Linked DNA regions of Tamandua tetradactyla. The protein of the gene in region 1 interacts with the protein of each later gene in a biochemical or structural test. Links are inferred from orthologs where the notes say so. Each region holds a gene or a part of one and is shown in the gene's direction. Other genes may lie near its edges. The genes, in order: BMP7, ACVR1 and BMPR1A.

Evidence for each region.
Region 2: the proteins of BMP7 (region 1) and ACVR1 form a complex in vitro, tested with the Homo sapiens proteins (2 studies listed by BioGRID). The link is inferred for Tamandua tetradactyla from reciprocal best matches to the Homo sapiens genes BMP7 and ACVR1.
Region 3: the proteins of BMP7 (region 1) and BMPR1A form a complex in vitro, tested with the Homo sapiens proteins (2 studies listed by BioGRID). The link is inferred for Tamandua tetradactyla from reciprocal best matches to the Homo sapiens genes BMP7 and BMPR1A.

What each region holds. Positions count from the first base shown.
Region 1 is NC_135327.1:28,167,549-28,174,470, forward strand, and holds the start of BMP7 (bone morphogenetic protein 7), read left to right. Parts: upstream 1-3,858; coding exon 3,859-4,276; intron 4,277-6,922. UniProt on the Homo sapiens protein: Growth factor of the TGF-beta superfamily that plays important role in various biological processes, including embryogenesis, hematopoiesis, neurogenesis and skeletal morphogenesis.
Region 2 is NC_135329.1:128,173,177-128,181,251, reverse strand, and holds the start of ACVR1 (activin receptor type-1), read left to right. Parts: upstream 1-4,976; 5' UTR 4,977-6,615; coding exon 6,616-6,650; intron 6,651-8,075. UniProt on the Homo sapiens protein: Bone morphogenetic protein (BMP) type I receptor that is involved in a wide variety of biological processes, including bone, heart, cartilage, nervous, and reproductive system development and regulation.
Region 3 is NC_135339.1:9,125,137-9,132,433, reverse strand, and holds the start of BMPR1A (bone morphogenetic protein receptor type-1A), read left to right. Parts: upstream 1-4,218; 5' UTR 4,219-4,411; intron 4,412-7,297. UniProt on the Homo sapiens protein: On ligand binding, forms a receptor complex consisting of two type II and two type I transmembrane serine/threonine kinases.

The sequences.
Region 1 (6,922 bases):
CTTGCTGGCGTTCTTGATCTCTCCAAGTCAGGATAAATTCGCTTTTCTTTGCTTGGCCAGGAAGTAGATGTTCATGAAAAGTTTCCTTGTTGTTGTTTTTAAAACTTTTGGAGGCTCTCATGCTAACATATTTTCCTTTTCATCCAGATGGCAACTGACATTTATCAGGCGTTTTCTCTGTGTCCCCAGGCGCCATTCAAAGCCCTTTACGGGAATTAAATTCTGAATCCTTGCAGCAGCCCCAGGAGGCAGGCACTCTCAGTAGCCCATTTTCCAGGTGGGGGAACTGAGGTCCAGAGGAGTGGAGACCCTTGCCCTTGTCATGCAGATGGGAAGCGGCAGCCCAGGGTGTCCACAACTCCTGCCACCACCTGAGACCCTCTAAATGGTCTCACAGCTTTTAGCTCCCAAGCCAGCATCGGAGGCAGTTCCAGCCCAGACATTGCCTGCATGTTTGCATTCATTCATTCATTCATTTACTCCTTCCTTCATTTGTTTGGCAAGCATTAATTGAGGGCCTGGCTCAACCCTGGGACTCCTTTAGGGGAGAAAGCAGGGAAAATAAAGAGCCGCCCCCTCCCCCAGCAGGGAAAGATAAGGTTAAATAGGGGGATCTTGGGAGTTCAGAGGGGACCTTATCTTTTCCTATTGGAAGTGCCTCATGAAGGGGCTCATTCTGCATTGATTGTCACTGGACAGCTGTCACTGGACAGCTATTTACTGAGCAAATGCTGGGTGTCAGGCTCAGGATGAGCTCAGAGGAGATGCAAAGAGAGGGGCAAGTCCTTGCTTCAAGGATTTCCAGCGGCAGAGAGGAGCCTGGAGGAGATGCTGACAATCCTGTACCAGTCCTTATTTGTGCTCCTGTGTAAATCCGCAGCACCCATACCTGCCCTCCTCTCCAGGCTCATTTGCTTGTAAAACAACACCCCTCCCCACCCCTCACCCCGCCAAAACAAAAAGCTTTGCGAAATGCTTAAAAAAGCAGAGACAGTGTGGGGAGCCACTGTGATTCTCATTTGCATTTTACCTCCTGGAAGAAAGGGCTGCCTTCATCTTCACTGGCCTCTGAGGTAGCAGGTATAGCCGCTTCGCCCCTGGCGAGCCAGCATGGGGGTGCATGGGTGGTGGTGGTGGTGGAACCCTTTCCCGGTCCCCAGGGCTTGGGCATTCGCTGTCCCTCTGCCTGGCTCAGGTCAACGACAACTCCTCCCTCACCACCTTACCTTGTTTATTTCCTCTGTCGCTTATCCTGAGCTGAAAGGAGCAGGTTGTTGAGTTGTGCACTCTGCCTCTGGTGGAACCTCGAGGCCACCGGCACTCTCTGACTTCCCATCACCCCCGTGGTAGCCACCCCCTCCACAATGCTCTCAGCCCACCTGTCCTCCCTCCTCACCCTCCTCCGCCTGCCTTCCAGCTGCCCAGGGTGCCAGAGAGGAAGGATGGACATGGGCTGCCTCCTCTCCCTCCCCTCCCCAGCCAAGCCTGATTTAAGGTGCCAGGTTTGCTGCCCCTGACCTGAAAGCCAGTTCCTTGACAGTGGCCACCTCACGGGCTCCTGCTGTACCCCCTGTTAGCACAATGTCAGGCCATGGGATTGCCACGTTGGGGGGCCCAGTGCAAGATGAAAATGCGGGGCCCTTGTTCATGGAATATTAAGAAATTCAAGATGGCGACAAGGGAGCATTAAACAAGTGTGGGCCTTTCTGAGCACCAGCCCTGGGGAGACTCACGGGCTGTACTCTGACCCTGTTCGGTGACCAGGAAGTGCTCAGGAGTGAAGGGCTGATGGGCAGTTCAAGGGGCCCCAATCCTAGGTAAGGGGCTCAGGCCTGGGGGCTATTTGACATACCCTTCCTCCTCACTGAGCCTCTGGCCTCTTCTCTCAACCCATGTGACCCCCTTACTCCAGCCTCTTGTCTGAAAGCCCCAAAGAGAGATCGGGAAGGCTGTAAGCAGAACTGTCTCTGCTGGAGAATACTGGAAAAGACCAGCTTGGCCAAGTTCCCCTTCATCAGCCTTCCTGCTGCAGGGAGGACCAGCCCTTCGGGCCTAGCCAGACCCTTCAAAAGTAAATCCCCTGCCCCAAACCTAGCCTTCCACCTTACCGCGTTGGATGACTCTCCATCTAGCCCACCCAACGGGAGTCACCACTTTGTATGCTTGCCTCCTCGGGGTAGAACCAGAAAGGAAGGAGGCAAGATTTGAAGTTCAACTCACGGTGCTCCCTGCTGCTCACGGTGAGGTGTTCTTCTGCTCCCACTTTTACAGAGGAGGAAACTGGGGCTCTGGGGAGCAGAAATTCACATATGGTCCAATAGCTGGCAGAGGGGACCCATAGGTTCTGAGCTGTCTGGCTCAGTTATGTTTGTGGGGAGAATGAATGAGGGAAGGTGTGGGGAGGGCAGAAAGGAGGCAAGGAGGAGCTGGCAGGTGAGGTCTCAGATAAACTAGGTGCCAAGGCAAGCTGCCTGCCCCCACACACGGTCAGGGTGGAGAACTGCGGGGGAATGTCAGAGAGTGGATGGCTGTTCTGGGGAGTTGGAAATAAATGGAGCCCAAAAGAGGAGGAGAGGGGAGGAGTTACTCCAATTTCATCTACTCATTCAACAAGTATTGCTTGGGCAGGGCAGTGGCTACCAGGTGTTGGATTTAAGGGCCTAGGGAGACGAGAGCAACCTTATGGGGAGACACACTAAAGAATTCTCCGCAAGATAAAATAATCATGTGTAAGAGTGAGGGGGCAAGCCACCTTAGCTGCCCTGGTCTGGGAAGCGCTCTGGGAGAAGGTGACAGCCAGGTAGACTGTCCAAGCACCGGGTATGGAAAGGGAAGTGAGGGGGTAGTGGAGAGTTTGAGGCAGAGGGAATTGCAAGTGCAGAAACAAGTTGGAGACAAAGTTGGGGGGAGGCGCAGCAGGGTGAGCATGGCTGCAGGGCAGAAAGCTGGAGGGCAGAGGGACAAGATGGGCTCTTGTGACACCTCCTCTGCGACTTCTCCTCTGATTCCCGCGCCTGCTCAGAGCTTCATCCATTATATCCCGGATTCCAGGGTCCCGCTCGGGCCTCCTTTCCATCCCGACTGTAAGTCCCGGGAGGGCAGGGCCGTCTCGGATTCCTCCCTTCGAAGCCCCGCGGCGCCCGACCCGGTGCTGGACACCCTGTGGGCACTCGGTAAATATTTGTCGAGCGCGCTAAAAGGGATGAATGAACCCATTGGGCGCAGTTGGGGGGAGGGCGGGGCCGAGGGCAGGTGGGAGGCCGCCGGCGCGGGAGGGCCCCTGGAAGTCCGTCCTCCTCCTCCTCCTCCTCCTCCTCCCAGGCCCCAACGCGTACCACTCTGGGGCTCCCGAGGCGGCCTCTCGTGCGATCAGGGACGCACAGGGCTGGGAAAGCGATCCGTGAGCCCTGCTTTCCGCGCCGGAGGTCGGAAGAGAGTGGGTCGCGGCCGCCGGAGGGCGAGAGCGCCGGAGGAGCGGGAGGAAGGAGCGCTCGCTCGCCAGCTGCCTCGCTGCCTCCCCGGCGCCTGCTCTCGCCGGCTGGGAGGTTGGCTGGCTGCTCCTCCCACCCGCGCCAGCCTCTTCGCTAGCTTGCTGGTTGGAGCTGGTTTCCAAGCCCCGCGGTGCGCCCGGGGGACTGCGGGGCGAGGGGCCCCAGGGCCAGCGCCGAGCCGGGGGCGGGGGTCCGGGCAGAGCGCAGCCGGCCGGGGAGGGGCCATGTCCGGCGCGGGCGCGGCGGGGCCCGTCTGCAGCAAGTGACCGATCGGCGTGGACAGCTGCCTGCCCCTCTCCGCCACCTGGGGCGGCGCGGGCCCGGGTGCCGGGAGCCGGGTGCCCGGGCGGCGCGGAGAGCCGGCGCGATGCACGTGCGCTCGCTGCGCGCCGCGGCGCCCCCCAGCTTCGTGGCGCTCTGGGCGCCCCTGTTTCTACTGCGCTCCGCCCTGGCCGACTTCAGCCTGGACAACGAGGTGCACTCGAGTTTCATCCACCGGCGCCTCCGCAGCCAGGAGCGGCGGGAGATGCAGCGCGAGATTCTCTCCATCTTGGGCTTACCCCACCGCCCGCGCCCGCACCTCCAGGGCAAGCACAACTCGGCGCCCATGTTCATGCTGGACCTGTACAATGCCATGGCGGTGGAGGAGGGCGGCGGGCCCGACGGCCAGGGCTTCTCCTATCCCTACAAGGCTGTCTTCAGTACCCAGGGCCCCCCTCTGGCCAGCCTTCAAGACAGCCACTTCCTCACCGATGCCGACATGGTGATGAGCTTCGTCAACCTCGGTGAGTGAGGGCGGGCGGGAGGGGTGCGCGTCTTGGGCCGGGCGCCGCAGGACAAGGAGGGGGCCGCCCCTTATGTTCAGTCCGCCCACCTCTCCACTCCCGGAGGTTTGCCAAGCCGCCGGTGCCTGCCTGGTCGAGAGTCCCCCAACCCCCAGCCCAAGTGGACCCCAAGCTGAGCGCGGCCCCAGGTAGCGTGAGCCGGGCTCGGCTGGCCTGTTGCTGTTATTGGGAGGGAGGGAGCCGCCTGAAGCCCCCTTGGGGTACGACGCGGGCCGCACCTCTAGTGTTGGAGGCGCCGGGCCCGGCCGCGGTTCAGTTCAAAGCGCGGGGCTCGGTCATGTGAGCTGCCCGCGCTACCTGAATTTAAAGAGTCTTTCTAGTGAAACCGCCTTCCCGCCCTTCTTCGGTGCCGCTCAGCCCTGCCCAGCCCTGTCACCGCGGCCGTCGCGGCCCCTTCCCGCCTTGGCGAGCCCCACCTGTCCCCTCGCTGGGCCGCCCGCCGGAGCGTGCTGCGCGCCCCGGGCGCCCCGGAGCCCCTCTCCCCGGGCACCCCCCTCTCTCCCGGCTCTACCCGCCGGAACTGGGGAAGAAACGTTGCCGTTGCGAGCTTTCTATTTTAAAATATTTAATGATAGGTCCCGGGCGGGTAGAATCCATTTTCAGCTTTTATCACGTGTGGCGCGCCAACCACCGGTTTGGGCGATTGGGTGGCGCGGGATCTCTGAGCAGACGCCACCGGGGGCGGCTGGGGGACCCGGATCCCGACGGTAGCCGCGATGACACCGGCGACGGAAAGCTGGGGCTTCGGCGGGGGCCCCGTGGCTCCCCTCGGTAGGGGCTGCGTACATTCTCCAGACTTGCGCAAACTAACCCCCGACAGCGCACTGTGGGGCGGAAGACCAAATATTTGATCTCAGAGATAAAGCACCCCGATAGCGCCGTTTCCCCAGCCGCTTTTATTCTACTTGCTGCGAAAATCCGAACCGAGTCAAGACAGCAAACTTCCACCCACGGGCTCTGTGTCAACATCGAAATAATGACCCTAAATCCCCACGTCGGGTACCTGGGGAGTGGATGGGGGTGGGGGAAAGCAGGGATCGGGTTTAATGCTTCCCGCCCCAGGTACCCTGGACGCCATTGTCTGTCTTAAATGATAACCAAACATCAACTAGTGAAATGCGCTTTGGCGAGCAAGGGGTGGGAGATTTAGATGCCCAGGTAAGTTCAAGAAAACTTTGAGTTTTATTAGCAGCCTGGTAGGAGGGAGGCAGCTGCACAGTCCGGATTTAGAAACTAACCAAGGTATATGAGGTGGAAAACAGCAAGGTGCAGGAATCAGTGAGTCTGCGTGTGTGTTTGGGTATCATCCCTGCCCTTCCTTCTGCAGGAAGACACCATGACAAACTGCAAATAGATTTAGTGAGGTGGAGGCAGAAGTGGGGCTGGGGCTTACCGGTGGTAGAGGGGGTTCTGATTTTTCACTCTCTGTCTGCACTTTGATCTGTGGCCTTTTTTTTTTTTTTACAGTGTGTATTTATTACCTGTAGCAAATCTAAAGAAAAATTATAAAAATGGAAAAGTAGACGTGGAGCTTCTGTTCTTTCCTGAAGTGGGGGTGGGGTGGGGGTGGGGCAGGGTTAAACCAGGACCCTTTCTCTGGCTGAGGATCCAAACCTCTTCCCTTCTGTTGGTTCAGATGGGTTCCCAGCACTGAATGAAGCAGGTCCCACCTGCAGCCTTGGGAGCCTGGCTGGGGTCGTTAAAAAGGCATTTGTAAGCCCTGGCTTCTGTAGAAGGCTCTGCAGACTCAGTCCAAAAAGTGCCCCATGCTTGTAGATTGGCAGTGTGGCTGAACCCCGGGCTACCACCCCCTTCCCACACCCCATCCCAGAGGAGTGAGTGCCTCTGGGTAGCTGGGGTAGGGCTGTTTGCTTCCCCCTGCTGTGGAGGTGGGGGTGGTGGGGGCGGTGGGAACGAGTTGGGACTCGTTTGGGAAGGCCCCAGTTGGGTGGTTTTCCTCCTGTGGGTGTACACACACCTTTCAACGCCGTTAGCCCTGTTTCTTTCATCTTGCGAGGACAAAGACCAGCTTGTCTGAGCCTCTTCATCAGCTGGCCTGGCTCTGGGCTCCGTGGGACAGTCCTGACTTTCTCAGGTCTAACTTTGTGGAACATCACTCCGAATTAGATGGTGGAGTGGCTATTAACAGGGCACGCTGAGCTTGTTTTTTCTCTCTCTCTTTCCTAAAACGAAAGGCACTTCATTAGATGAAGACCTGGAGTACAGTTTGGCAAAACTCTTCCTGTAGAGCCTTCTAGGGCTGGCCTTTAATTTCTGCTCAGCAACAACACATGCATAAAATGTCTGCCCCTTCTATTCTGCCTTGGCTCTGGAATTTCTCCGTAGGAGGGGTGGTGGTAATGGGGCTGGAGGGGAAGGGGGCAAGTAGGGCACTTGTCCTGCAGCTGAGTTTACTGAGAAAGCACACTGTCCCCTTGGCCTGTAGATCCTATCCATCCGTAATATACAAACTTTTCAAAAGGTACGTTCAGTCACACTTTCCGTTAAGAGTGAGAAAATGTCACTTGTCCATATCAAACCACTGCTCGCTACATTCAGGAAACTTTGAGGGCCCAACTGATGGAG
Region 2 (8,075 bases), on another chromosome or scaffold:
CTTCTTGTTACACTGATAACTGTTGTCACTCTTGGTCATAGTGGGTTGTTCCTCTTTGGGCTCCTTCAGTGCAAAGAGCAGAGGAGAAAGTCCAAAGCGTGAGATCAGAAGTTGCACATATCACTTCTAATGTATGTTCCATTCGTGAGGAGTTAGTTTTATGGGCATACCTAGCCATGAGGGAGGTTGGGAAATGAAGTCTCTGTTGGTCAGCATTGACCCAGGAAGAGAGGGAAAGACAGAAAATTAGCAGACTCTGTTCCACTGACTATACATTCCAGTTTTATTGACTATTACAACGTGTCTCCTTTGATAGATATAAATTGTCGTATATATTTTGGTCTTTTTTTTGTGGATATTCATGTAGGTTTATTGCTCTGTTTGCCTATGTATATACCATAGTCATATTGTTTCAACTCTTGGAGCTTAAAATGTTTTTTTTTTTCTTTTTGGTAGAGTAGTCTCCCCTTTTTTACTCTCTTTTACAGAATTTTCATGTGTGTGTGTTTATATGAGCTTTAAAATAATCATGTGCAGTCATCCTGGGCCCCTTACTCTTCCCTAGAGAAGAAAACCTGCAAATTTTGGGGATTGTGTTAAATATATAGATAAACCCCTTATGGACAGTTCATATCTTTATGATAATTTTTCTTATTAGGTCGTAGGTTGCATAGTCCAATTTGGGGAATCTCTGATCTGGAAGCTAGCCTTCGCATTTCCATTGACACATAAAACATAATTGAAAGAGGAAGCACCAACTTCTTACAAGATATATTAGTTTTTTTTTAACAGTTGATTTCTTTTTATCACTAGGAAACCTACATCTGTTCTTTGTGCTACTAAAAATTAATAAAATTGGAATTTGGGGAAAACCCCCAAATTTTCCTCAGTTTGAAGGTGAGGAATAATAGATATTTCAGAAATTGATTAATAAATGTATTTGTAACACACAAACCTGGGCACATTTTTGCATGTCTGATGCATAATGCTTATATGTCTTCTGTGTGTTTCTGTGTGCATGCGTGTTTGTTGTACTTTCTTTTAACAATATACATTCAGCTTTTGTGCATTCCTTTTTAACCTTTTTATCGTAAAATAAACACAGATACAGAAATCCTCACAAAATAAACCTAGTTTAGTTAATACAAGGGAGGTATCTCTGACCTCCTCTCATGTTGACAAGAGAGTGTTAGCAGCCGCTCTAGAGCTCATTCTCATGCCCTGGCCCAGTCACAGCTGCCCCCTCTCTCCCTCCAGCAGTAACCACTTCCTGACTTTTATAGTAATTGCTTCCTTCATTTCTTTATGGTTTCCTCACCCAAGTATGCATACTCAGCCAGTGCAGTTCAATCTTGTCTCTCTGTCTCTCTCTCAGCCTTTTCTTTTTTTAATTATATCTGTTACAAACCTGACCATCTGAGTGATAGTTTCCCACTGCCTGGATTTTGCTGATTGCACCTTCATGGTTCAATTCATCCTGTTTGCCTTTTCATTTCGTAGAAAGTAGTAGTTTAAGACAACAGTCTGGGAGCCTGGGACACTCATTTTTACTGGGTTAGCCATTGTTTCTGTGCCTTTTTACCAGGCAGAGCAGGAAGTAAATATATATAAAATATTTCATGAGTTCATACTGGTACCCCAATTAAATTCTAGGGTTTTTACTTAACATATTCTGTGTGTCCTCAATATCTCATTTATTGCACAGAAATCCAGTTCTCAAGAACAGCAGAAGTGATTGAATTAGACTAGGTCATTTACTTAATCCCCATATATATATACACACACACACCATAACTGTCTCGATATTACCATTGTATCACTGGTTATGAAAACTGGAGGCTGATTTAAATTTTTTTAAAATTTCCTTTTTGTATTCTATTTCCATTCTCCCCTTGATTTATGTGTGTATGTATGTGTGCTTATAGTTGAAAATTGGGGGAAATTAAACGCTGATTATGTTTAAGATGATATTTGGGGGAGGGATAATTTTAATTTTGCTAGGTGAGATGAGGTTTTATAGTTGTGTTTAGAAAAAGTCTTTATCTGCTAGAGAATTTGTGGGTAAAATGATAAGACACCTGGATTCTCCTTAAACTATTTCAGGAAAAAAGTGGGCAGAAGAGGAAATAAGGTTGCTTATTTTTGAAATTGGGTGGTAGAAAGTGGGGATTATTATACTTCCTCTGTTTCTATGTATGCATGAAATATCTATAATACATAAGTTATAAAAAATTAACTTACAGGGAAGTGCAATGGTGGCTCAGTGGCAGAATTCTCGCCTACCATACCGGAGACCTGGGTTTGTTTCCCAGTGCCTGCCCATGCAACAAACAAACAAACAAAAATTAATTGACAGTGGACATCATGGTAGGGGAAGATGTTAATTAGGAAGGAGTAGTCCCATGGGAGGGAAAATGCAGTCTTACCCTGGTGTCACAGTGTTAGCTCCATGGCCTACAGTGGTCCTTGAAGTTAAAAAAAAAAAAATGAATGAGATCTTGAGTGAGAAGGAGAGAAGGCTGAGGTGTGTGGTCCTTGAGGAAATCATGATTTAAGAGATGCATAGCAGAAGAGGAAATCCCCATGAAAGAAAACTGAACAAACCCATATAACCAGCCCATGTAACTAAGTGTCCTGGAGGAAGAAAAGTCCCTGGACCCCAGCTAGGGAAGAGTTTCTGGAAGAAGGAGGCTGTCGACACCAGCCCATCACAGAGTAGATGAATGAGATCACCCGTGGCAACCTCAGCTTCCTCTGAGTTGCTGTTGGGACTGAGATTCTTGTGCCTCTTTTCAGGATTGATGGAATAAAAATCTCTCTGGGTGAGCCTGGGAATCCATGTTTTGAAGAAGCGCCCTTATCCTGCTAAAGGATAAGGTACAGACTAAACAAAACCTTAGCGAGAGGCATTACAGTGAGTTGTCTTGGACAGGACACAGTGGATTGAAGACCAGAGGAGAGGAAGTGGAAAAAGATTGTCCTTCCCGTGCGAAAGCAGAAAGAGTAGGTATGGGGCCAAAGGGGAGGCTCCCTTTGGATTGAGGGATTTGTTGGTGTTTGTAGAAATAATTTGAGAGGTTTTCCTGAATGGTTCCCAGCACAGGATGTTCAGGTAGTCAAATGAAGCGTGCGGTTAGGCCCCCATCACCAGAGAGATTATTTTGGGGAGAACTTAATTTTCTGACCGTTCAGAGCAAGCTTGGAAAGAGGCAAGATGGATTAGATGTTCCTTTCATTTGATATTATTTTTAAATCACATATTAGAAGAGAAGGGGCTCTAGTGTCTTTTCACTGCCTCAGCTTCTCAAGTTCTTACTGGGCTTTTTGGCCCCTTGAGGTGGCAGCACTGACTCATCCAGCCCTGAGGGGAAGGAAGGAATGGGGTCAGGTGGGCTGTTCATAGCACTTTTCTCTTGTTCACTTGCCCACCCCCCTTCACCTTCTGGTAGTTTCTTTTTCTCTCACTTAAGAATGGCCCACTAGAGTCCACAGAACCCAGCAGAAGGGGTCACTTCGTGTGAAGTTATTTACTTTGGGACGTGGGGGGATTCCCATATTTTCCTGACTTTCATAATCATGTTGCCAAGGGCAGTGGGTGTTTGGTGCTTGCCTTTTCCTTCTCCTCTTTTCTTCTGTTTAATACCGGATCAGGCTCATAATTTTCTCCCATGTGAGCTTTCTAGCTCTGCGTACTTGGGGATGTCATCTACCTTTAAAATTTTATTCTATTCTCCCCATTTAGTATGGTGTGTTTCGCTGTATTTTTAACTTATCAGTTTTCCTAGTCAGGTCAGTGAGTGTTTTTTGGTTGGTGGGTGGGTGATTTTTTTGGGTTACATCAGTAATTGGATCTGTTTCTACACAGTATCCTGAATCCCTCCCTAGCTGGTTTCTTTTCTCATGTTCTGTTGTGGTAACGTCAATACTAACCCGTTCAACTTGTACACTGACCCTGTGTCCATGGCTCATTTTCTTTCTCATGATCGTATTTATATTTTTGGTGGATATATTTAAATGAACAGCTGTGCATTTGTTGAGTCATACCACAATTATCTGATTCTGCTTTAGCTGTTCCACTGGCAAAAGCGTATTTCTAGCTAAGTTGTGAGAGATTCCATTAATCACATTCCAGTTGGGGGAAGGGAGAGGAGAAAAACCACTAAAAGAGTGTTTTGAAAGACTAATGTTAGCAACTTATTACATTATTTAGAGTAAGTTGATTTGGTTGCTATAGCTTCATAGGCAAAATTCCCTGTCATCATTGGCTTGGAGATAAAAGTTAAGTTGCTGGTGCTGGTCTATTTAAATAGATAAGAGGTCTTTGAGAGAGTTCCTTTCTGTTAAGACTGGGCTTTTGATTCAAAATTCCTTGAATTTATTGGCTAAGTATTTTTTGTTTTGTCTTCTCAGCAGATAACATCTGATGCAGAAGATGTTACAAGTTCCCTTTTCTTCAAATGTACTAATTGCTAATTGTAACCTCTGGTTGAATCTGTGGCTTCCATCAGCCAGATCTATTTTTCTCTTGACACTTCCTCTGGGTTCTTTCTGGAGGTTATTAATAGACATGGAAGCATGACTTTCCAAATAGCATCAATAACCGTTAGAAGACTTGGGGGGAGGGGATAATATGTCAATTTTTGACTTATAGGAGATGCATTTTCAAGCTACAGAAGCCATTTCCGAGGTCACTCAGGATGGCTCAGCTGGTGTCTGCAAGTAGAGAGCCAAGCAGTCCTTTCCAAATGGGAAATTGTCCGCCAGGGAGTTATCTGGTACACTTGGAGTCTGCCAGCCGACTTTTTATTTTGGCTGCTTCTCTTGGATGACACCCATGAAAGTGGAGTTCAAGTTTCAAATGATATCTTTTAATTTACCTCAAACACCTGGTTGCTACTATATTAAATTGAGGACATGAGGCACCCCATCTCCCTTGGTCATTTTCTTGCCAACCTACATAAAATTCCTAAAACTTCACTTTCCTCTCCTCATCCAGACCAAAATGCAACATAGACTTAGAATTTAAGATTACTGTGTTTTCACATGAATCTGACCGTGCCAGGTGCAGGGATGTCTGACCATGAGCCAGACAGAGTTTTTACTCTCATGTTGGTTACTTACATTTTGGTGGGGAGACCAAGGGGAAAAAGATAATAAATGAATAAATAACAGATTTCACAGATTTAAAAGCTATGAAGAAGATATAGCAAGGTAACAAACGCAGTGCAATCGGAGGTGAACGTGAGAAAGTCTGAGACAGGAAGAAATGAATTTGGAAGTGGGTAGGTGGGGTGTGGACGAGGAGAAAGGTTCTGGCAAGGTACATTGTGTAAAGGGTACTTTTTTCTCACATCTGTAAATATGTACTGACAGTTTCCTGTTTTAAAACTTAAAAACAAACAAACAAAAAACAACAGACCTCCCTGAGGGTTCCATCCTTTTCATTCATCTCCATCCCCATCCCCATCCCCACCCCCTTCAGATCATTAGAGGTTAATCATTTTAACCTTAGAATTGGGATAAATCACCAAATGAACCATCACTTGGCTGTAATGAGAGGGAAACTTCAGGTCAGGCATAGTTAGGAAGGGTAGACACAATCTAACTTAAGACTTCTGGAGAATGTGGGATTTTTACCAGTAGGTAAGAAAATTGTTCTGGTCACATTTTGCAAAGTGGAGTAAGAGGAACACACCTCTGAGCTATTGAGGAGAAAAAAGATTACAGAACAGCTGGGAGATGGAATCCTGTTAGTTGGAGCAAAGCAGGAGTATGAGGGCTATTTGATACAAAGGAATTGAAGTGGAAAATGAGGGACAGTTTCTCTTCTGGTCAAGCATGATAAAATAAAAACTAGTTTGAAAGTTCCGGTAAGGTATGCAAGTGGGCAGTCAAGACATTGGAAGTTTCAGAGGCTTAGTTTAGTTACACACCTTGTAGGTGTGTGGCAGTGCTGGGTAAATTCAAAGTAGATTGAGAGGGGATTCTTTGGTTCTTACTTCGTAGCCCAAGCTAAACCATTCACTTAGTTTTACTCAATGAATCCTTACCTTTTCTCCCTCTTTTCACAGATTATCATATTGCTTTTTCCCCAAAATTTTAGGGCGATTTTCCAGGCTAGAATGGTCAGAGTGTAAATCTTTCACTCAAAACCCTTGCTTTGCTGAAAAAATCTGTAATTATTTCCTCTCACTATGGATGTACTAATTCCAGAGCTGGATGTCAGGTGTTTAAGATTTGTTCAAGAAGCTCTTTGAATTCATGTATCAGGAAAGATCAGATTACATGCTAATATTTTTAAAGTGACGCCCTGCCAGAAACCTCCAGCAGCACTGGTGTCTATATAAAACCAAGTTCTGGCAACATGTGCTTGGCTAGTTCAGACACAGAGTGTGGTGGTAAAAACATTGAACAGGCCATTTTGTGAGCTGGAGAAGGGAGCTGACAACTCCTATGGTCTGATGGCTTGGTTAGACTTTTCTTTATAGCTGTCCCTGACAGCCCACATCTCTCTTCACCCCCACTAAGGAAGGGCCTAAGTAGTTTGGGTCAAGATGCTGCTTGGGTTATCTCTTTGCCTGTTGACAATGGAAGAGAAATAAATGTTCTCACAGAATGGCTAATTGTTGTCACACTTGCAGTTGGTTATTGTAAGTATATTTTCCCCTAATGTTTTATGTCTATAATTTCCCCTACTGGGCCTGTCTTTTCAAAAAAATGTTCCTGACTTATACTGTTTTATTTTGAAGGGTGAATTTTAAGACTACTGAAGAGTGGGATGGGGAAATGGTAGATAGAAACCTCTCTGTGTCATCAAGGCAGCTGGTTTTTCTTTTGCATCAAGATTTTTTGGGGAGTGTGGGAGGGAGAAGATAATCCAGGGTTATAAAGTAGATGGAATTAATTTTGAGGTGAGAGAAATGGAAAGAGGGCCTGATTGAGAAGGGCTCAAATAACCATAGGTGTAGGTTTTTCACTAACAAGAAGATTTTTGAAGCTCAGAATGAGTTCAGGCTTGGATAAAATGTTGAGGATGATAAAACCGGATTGTGAATCTATGGCTGGTTAAGGGGTGGTTGTGAAGAGCGGTGGTTAATTAGGATCCAAACTCTGGTCAGATGGCCTTGGGTTTGGATTTGTGACCTTGGGCAAATTACTTAAAAGTCTATCTATCCGTTTTCTTATCTGTAAAATGGATTAATGGGTATTTATCTTAAAGTGTTTTGGGCAGAGATTGAATGAAATGTAATACATTTTGATTCCTTGGCACTGTGCCTGGCTCATTAAGTGCCATTGCTATTAAGGTGATAATGATATAATGCTGACAGATGACTGGGAGAAGGCAGAAGTACCCTTATTTCTTATAACTTTCCACTCATCTTCAGTGTTATGAATGACAAATTATGTGGTGTTTGTAAGTCTAAGTTTTAGCGCTATAGATTATCAACTAAGATCACTTACTGTGGATTCCAAAAGTTAACATGGAAATGTATTATACTCTTATTTATTCAGTGACCAATATAAAAATGCTTTTGTAACTTTTGCCCCCTGTATTGTATTGCAGAGTATCTGTGACTTTATCCAGCTGTAAAATTGTGACAGGCAAAAGAAGTACCAGACTTGGTCTACAGCCTACACATGTTAGAAATTGAGCTAAGCTCCTTAACTAGATATCAGTCTGATCTATAAATGGAGTTTGAAAAGTACCATGGGATTTGGAAAGTGGTTCTCTTCTGCTCTGGTGATGTGTCTGTTTTTAGTAGAGCGTCATGGGAATGTTCTGTCTCCCAGGAGAGCAGGCCTAAGATATTACAAGAGATGGTGCTGATTTAACGGGGGTACTCGGGTTAAGTTGGGGTGGGGCTCCCTATCTGAGCAGCAATTTTCTTTGTCTTTGATATTAAGAGCATTTACCAGGGCTGGAGGGACTAACCTAAGAGCAAAAGGAGGATGCTTATATATGTATACCGGAGACAAACTCGCATATTCTGCACGCCTCTGTGATCCCTGGTAGCCTGTGATTTCTCAGTGAGGGACTTTGGCTTTAAGACATTGTAAGGATTTGGTTCAACCTA
Region 3 (7,297 bases), on another chromosome or scaffold:
AAAGAATGTAGGAACCAAATGCTGGAAGCAGGTAAGTGTGGCTGCAAGTATTTACTGGTGCACAGTAGAGACTGTGTTGTAGGGCTCGGGCTGAGTCTAGGTGACAGAGGAAATGGAGTTCCAGGAAGGTTAACAGGCCAGGTGTTCAAGGCACAAGAAAAGGGCTGTGAGTCAGTTCACAGAAAGGGGCTAAGGTTAGGGTTCCTCAAGTAAGTATCAAAGGCCGCAGGAGTCTGAGTTGCTGGCTTGGGACTGGAGCCCTGAGAATTTCCCATCTCAGGGCCTACATCCTGGAAAGGACTGGGGTCTATGGTAAAGGAAGCATTGATAGTGGGGAGAGGACAACCAACTACAGAGGCCAGGAACTAGGAAGGACGAAGTAAAGGCTAAACGATAACCTCAGTAAACCATATACTGTCTTTTTTGAAAAAAATTTTTATTGTGAAATATACATGCAGAAAAGTGATAAATTTCGAAGTACAGTGTAACAAGTAGTTAAAGAGCAAATGTCAAAGTATGGTATGGGTTACAGTTCCAGAATTTCAGGTATTTCCTTCTAGCTATTCTAATACATTAGAGATTTACAAGAAATATCAATATTATTCGGTAGTCACAATCATTTATAATCCTATCTCCTCTGTTACAACTCCTCGCTCTCATTTGTTCCTTCTCCCAATCTTCAGGGCTATTTGGGCAATGACCATTCTAACTTCTTCATGTTAGAAAGGGGTGTCGACATTATGGGGATGGGGAATGCAACTAGTCAATGTTTTTGGAGAGACTGGTGCCTCTGGGTTTCATGGCTTATCTGGTATATGAATAATCTGGAGGCATAAACCATCTTCATAGTAAACAAATACTTTGAAGCAAAGAGAATTTGAAATGGAGTAGGGAAGAAGGAAGAAGTTTTTTAGAAGTAAAATAGAAGGGAAAGTAAAGCACTGTACCATTATAAAGAAAAGGAATAAATTCATGTTTTTAATTTTTTCTCTAATTTATGCCCGTAATTATTACTTGTATGTAGGCTTCTTTTTCTTAAACACAAGATGTTGTGGCTTGGTATTTCTGAACCAGGTTGGGGTATTTTGAATCAATATAATGATGAAGTAGTGTTCTTGCTGAGAAATGCAAATGTTTCCTCTACTCTCCTCAACCTTTTCATCCATTTAATAACCAATCTGAAACCAACCTAAAGTATCATCCTACCAAAGGCCTCCTATCAATAATCCCTCCTTACTACGCTCTAACTTATCACCAAACCTACAAAGACTTGGTGCTACCTACAAAGACTTGGTTCTGTAATGACTCACAAAGTCATTACAACGGGAAAATGATTTTGGATGGATTCACTGCCAATGAACTTGGATCCCTGAAGGTAGAAGCCCATTTTCCTGAAGATGGTGAAATCCACAGCTTCCCCGGCCAATCTTCAACCCTTCCAACAGAGTCCACAACATCCCCTAAAACTGGAAGGGTCTTGGTGACAAAAGTTCAGAAATGCTCAGAGGAATATTCTATCCTTATCTATCTCATTCAGCAACAAATATGGAGCACTTAGAATGTGCCAGGCACAGTTGAGAACAAAACTGACAAGGTCTTTGCTCTCATGGGGTTTACATTTCAGAAGGGAGGGAGGACACACCCACATATCTGAACAAGGTAACTGCAAGAGTAAAAAGCGGTATAATGAAAATGAAATTTAAGGGGTTATTAATTTACGATAGGTGACCAGGGAAGGCCTCCCTGGGGAACCTAAGACCTGTATGAGAAGGTGCCAGTAAGGGGAAGATCTAATACATTTCTGTTCCAAAGTGCCAGTAAGGGGAAGATCTAATACATTTCTGTTCCAAACTAATGCTATGTGATTTGGCCATGCAACAGCAGGGGACCAAAACCTCAAACAGGCTGTACAGAGGAAAAGGCCCATTTCTAGCCCCTTCTATTAATTTACTTACAGGAATACCATCACATTTAAAAATGTTAAATTTGAATCTTGGGACACTGCCTTTGAGTTTGGTGGCCAGACCACACGTGCCCAGATGTCGCCTTGGGCTTCCTGGCTGCACTGTTCGTTTAGTGGGCAGGCAAACCGGAGAAACAGGCTGGCACGCATACACATGCCAGGAACCAAAGACAACACAATGCTGTGTTCGGCTGTCGGAAGGTTGCCTGCCGTGATATATGCTTGGGATTTTAATATGGGCACTAGATGAGGTAAGGAGAGCAAAATGAGGTCAAGTGAAATTCCGAAAGACTTTGAAAAGTAGATCGTTTTGTAGAGAAGCAGTCAGAGATGTCATGACTTAAAATTTGATGTCTCAATTTTGCTCTCATTTTCATGTTGGCATATAACCACAAGTCAGCAACACTGAGGTGGGTATTTCAGACATCTGATGGACTAAAGTTCCAACTTGAGACTCTTGGCTATTGACAGACTAATACAGTGTCTAAAAATCGATCTAGGATATAGAGTACGTAACACACACACCATGCTTTTCTCTGTCATGACACACTGCTCAGAGTACAGCAGTGAATTCTTCCGCCCATCAATCTGAATCTGCTTGAGCAAAAGGCCCACCCTTTCCCCTATAATTATAGCAGGGCAGTATACAGGAAACTTGAAAAAGAAGTGACAAATTGTAATTGATGTTAAGGAAACTCACATATCTTAGATTCTTTCTGCATAGCAAGATACTATAACCCACTGACTCTCAAACCTGAGACAGCTAAATTAGAGCCCAGAACAAAAGTCAGAGAAGAAAACAGCACCGAAAAATAATTCGGATTTATCAAGGTATTCTGAGTCATTAAGGGTAAAGGTAGGAAAAAGAAAAGCTAAGGGGGACGGGCTGAAAGACGGAGAGTAAAAAAACATCCAAACAAGAACATAAGGATAAATAAGGATATCAAGAAATGCCCTGAGATCTAAATAACTCTGGAGGAGAACGTGTATTAAAAAAAACAAAACAAGGTCTGGCACATTTTTTCCTCCCTCCCCCTTCTCTTCATCCACAATTTTAAAAGTGATTTCATAAAGAGACTTTTGGAAAACACCATCTTTTGTAAGGAGACTAAAATTAACATGATCTACTCATTGAGATGAAATACGAATAGGGTCAGTTTGGTTGTTAAGGGAGGCCTTGTCCCCTTTCTTCCCATACAGGACACTGTATATCTTCAACTGCCTTTGCCACAAAAGACGAGGGAAAATTCAAAGGGAAGAGGTAGTGACGATCATTTACAACTTTGTAAACGGAGACTCCGGAGGGTACACAAGGTCACAAAAGCGAGCCAAAGGTAAAGATGGGAGGAATATTTATAGTCCGCTGACTTCAGCGTCGGGTGAGCGCCTTTGGAACCCACGGGCTCGCAGATCCCAGCGCGAGCTGGGTCTCCGAGACCGCGGATCGACGAAGAAATGCCTTTTTCCTCGGCTCACCCCGAGACCGCTCACCTCCACCTCCCTCACGGGTCCCCGGCACGTCGGCAAAGAGCCCCAAAAGGGAAGCGACCCGGGCAGTAATAAGCCAAGTGTGACTGCATCTTTCGTTTCTCTGTCGCAACCCTACTAGTTCAGTGGCCTGGCGACCGCACAGCTCGGTGCGTGAATTCTGGCCGACTACGTTCGTCCGGACGCAACCAGGCCGGTGCCCGCGCGCGCTGCCGGGGTGTGCGAAGCGCCGAGAGAGCCCAGCGAGCCCTGTCGCCCGCCCTCCGCGGCGCCTTCTCCACCGCGTCGGCCCCGAGGTCCCCCACGCCGCGGCGCCCAGGCTGGCGGCTTCCGGAGACCTGGGGCCGGCTGGTCTCGCGCCGAGCGACGGGGCGGCGGCACGCCGAGGAGAAGCCCCCCTCCTCTCCGCTCCCAGCAACCAGGCGCCCCCTTGCCGGCGGCCCGGCGTCCCCCCCGGCAGCGGGGCGCCGGCCTTCGCGGGCCCTTCGGGTGCTTCCGCCGCACGCTCGGCTCCCTTCGAGTCCAGGGCGGGGCCGGCGCCCAGGCTTGGGTGCGCGCGGCGCTGGCGGGCGCCCTCTCAGTGCGTGCGCGCGGCGCCCGGGGCTCGCACAGGCCCGCCCCTCCCCCAGCGGCCCCCGCTGCCCCGGTCCTCCTTCCCCCGCACCCCCCCCCCGCGCGAGTGTCGGCCCCGGCGGCGGCGGCTGCCGAGATTGGAATCCGCCTGCTGGCCTGCGCCGAAGGAGGAGGGCGGAGGGCTGGGAGGGCGGGCAGGAAGGCTCGGGCTCCGGCGGGTCCGTCTGCGCGAGACGAGGATCGCACGGCCGCGCGAGGGGCTACAGGGCCCGGGTCGCTGCACACCGAGGGTGGAGGCCGAGCCGGGCCCCAGGCGCTCCCCCCCGGCTCACAGCGCGCACCCCGTTCCGCGCAGAGGGGCTGGAGGATGAGTGCCCCGGGATCCGGGTGAGTTGACTTGTCCGAAAGTGCGTGTGCGCGCCGGGAGGGCCGGGCCGCAGCGGGGAGGCCGGCGCGGCGCTCGGAGCGAAGTTTCTGAGGGAACCGGACCGCGAGCTGGGAGGCCCGGTGGACGATGGCTGTCCGAAGCGGGGGCGGCGGCCGGAGGGAGGGGGCGGTGGCCCGAGGGAGGGGGCGGTGGCCCGAGGGAGGGGGCGGCTGACCGAGGGAGGGGGCGGCGCTCGGAGGGACGCTGCAGCTTGGCCCGGTGGGCCCGTAGGGCCCCCGCGGCCTCGAGCGTTGTCAGCCTGCGCCTCGCGCTGTCCCTCAGGCCGCGGCGCGGGTCGGGCCCCGCCGACCCCGAGTCCCCACCCGGGACTGTCGCCTCCAGCTCTCGCCCGGGCTCCCCCACTTCCACCCCTAGAGACCCTTCGGGCCCTGCCTGCCGCCCGCGGCGCCCCCGCCGCCCGGCCCCTCCTTTGTTTCCCACCCCCGGGTTTCAGGCCGACTTTGGGAAGGCGGTGTTGGCAAAAGGCGCCTGCAGTACGCGACTTGAATCCTTAAATGGGAAAGGGGGTCCTTAAATGGAAAAGGCGCTCACCCCGCGCCCAGTAGCTGCGAGGTTGATACGCGTGATTAGTCTCTGGACGCTTCTGCAAAAGGGGGTGAAAAGTGTTTCATGTGGACGTAGAACTAGGGGGATTTCTTGCTTCCCCGAAAGCTTGCCCACGGGAAGGTGCCGGGTTTCTCGCAGGTCCCTGTGTCGGTTCACCTGCCCTTCGCTGCCGTGTCTGTTGTGATGCTGCGCTTCAGTTTCCGAAAACTTTTTTGCTGAATTGAATGCAACCTTTTTCTTTTCCAGACTCCTAGTGGAAAGGTTTAGCAAGGGGAAAAAAAAACACAACAAAAAATACTTGCGTCAGGGAAGAAAAATAATGTGCTCTGTGTTAGGGTCTGGCTTTTTGTGACTTGTACTCTTTCATGCTCTCAGATATTTTAATTTGGTTTAAGTGTTGCAGTTTTTTCCTCTTCTAAACGGTTAACAAACTGTTCCCGAGTATATTGTATGGACTTGGCACAGTCACCTGTGTTACGTCATTTAATCCGTATGCTAAAGCCTGGTTATTGTATTCCACACTTTTCGGAGGAGGAAACCAAGACTCAGAGTGGTTAAATAACTTGTTTAAGGGAGCTGGGATTTTGAACCCGGAATTTTCCTTCATATTCAGGAACTGTTAAGATGAAGTATACTATGAGTTCAAAAACACCCACAACCACAACTCTTCTGCACTTGCATGTTGAGCAGTTTTTATTTACATTTAAAATGATGACTATTTTTGCTTGAGTTGAAAATAACTCCTTTACTATATTGACTTGTAGGAAGAGTTAAACTTTGAATTGAAATGAAATGTTAATACTGTTTATCATTGTTTTCAGTTGTTGAAATTAAAAGTTTTTGAACCAGAATAATTTAAATATTTAAATTTACAGCCAAAATACAGGTTGTTCTCTGATCTAGAGTTGGGTTGAGTTTATGAAAGGCTTGATTGAGATTTAGAAAGCATTTCTTAATAGAAACAATGTTCTATTCCTGGCCCCCCCCCCCCCACGTTCTCCTTAGCGTCTATTTCAGATCTCTTTTATTTTCTTCACATCTCTCTGCCCGTACTAAAAAGATTGAGGCATCCCTGTGGGAACACCTTCCAGAATTTACTGAGTTCCTTCTATCATCTGCTGCTTCTCTTCTCAGAGGAAGAATATTTTTTGTCCTTTTTGCTAAATTAACACCTTACTTGTTCTTTATTCTCTTCTTTTCTACTTAATGGAGCAGAAATTATCCCTCAAAAGTCTTTGGGTTCTTAAAAGTATAAATGTGCTTAAGATTCCCTCAATTTTTTGAGAACTTTCCTTGAGCCCCTACTCCCTCAAGCTGTCTTGTTGACTGCTTTTCCTTTTCAAATGAATTAAAAAGTTAATAAAAAAAAGTTTTTCCCTGTAAAAGTAATACATGTTTATTAAAGCAGAATTGCAAAATGGAGTAAAACTGAGGTAAAATTAAAATTCAGTCATTCATAGTCCCGTTTCTGTAACAATTGCCATGGTTAACTACACTTCTTGAAGGAGTAGTCTGCTTTTCCTGCCTTCCTGGCCTCTCATTCACTTCTTAATCTCTTGCTACCTGGATTTCACCTTCACAAATCAATTGAAACTGTTATTTTGAAGATCATCTATAACCTAATCAACACATTCAAGCACCTTTTCTAAATAGTCTCCTTGAGATTTTTGTAGCGTTTAGCATTACATTCTCGAAATGCTTTTGTATACATTTCATTCAACGAATAGTTGCTGTATTCCAACACACAGTGCAAGGCAATAGGATGCATCAGCATCAGCAGGTATGCTCTTTGCCCTTATAGAGTTTATAGTCTAGAGGAGGAGAAGGATATTGAAGAATGGATTATGTAATTAACTGTAATTGCGATTATAATTAAAGTGCCAAGTGTTATATAAGAGCCTAAAATGGGGACCTGTTCTGGTACTGGTATTGTTGGGAGAATCTGGGGAGGCCTCTCTAAAAATGTTGCCTTGGAACACAGGACAATTTTGAAAGACAGGTGACAACTAGATGAAAAGGGGGCTTCTGACTTTGTCATTCACTGCTCCTTTTCTACATTCTGTTCTTCTTCCTGCTTAATTTAAGTGCCCTTTAAGTTTCAGTTTTCAGTCCGCTTTCTATGTACCTCTGGTCCTTTGACATTATTGTTCAGACTCTTCTTTATGTGTAATTCTCAAATCTCTATCTTGATTTCTCTTCTGCGCTTGAATTCTCTTTTCCATCTGCTTTATGTACTACTATCTCTGCCTGGCTGTTCTGGCTCAAACTGTCCTTTCCAT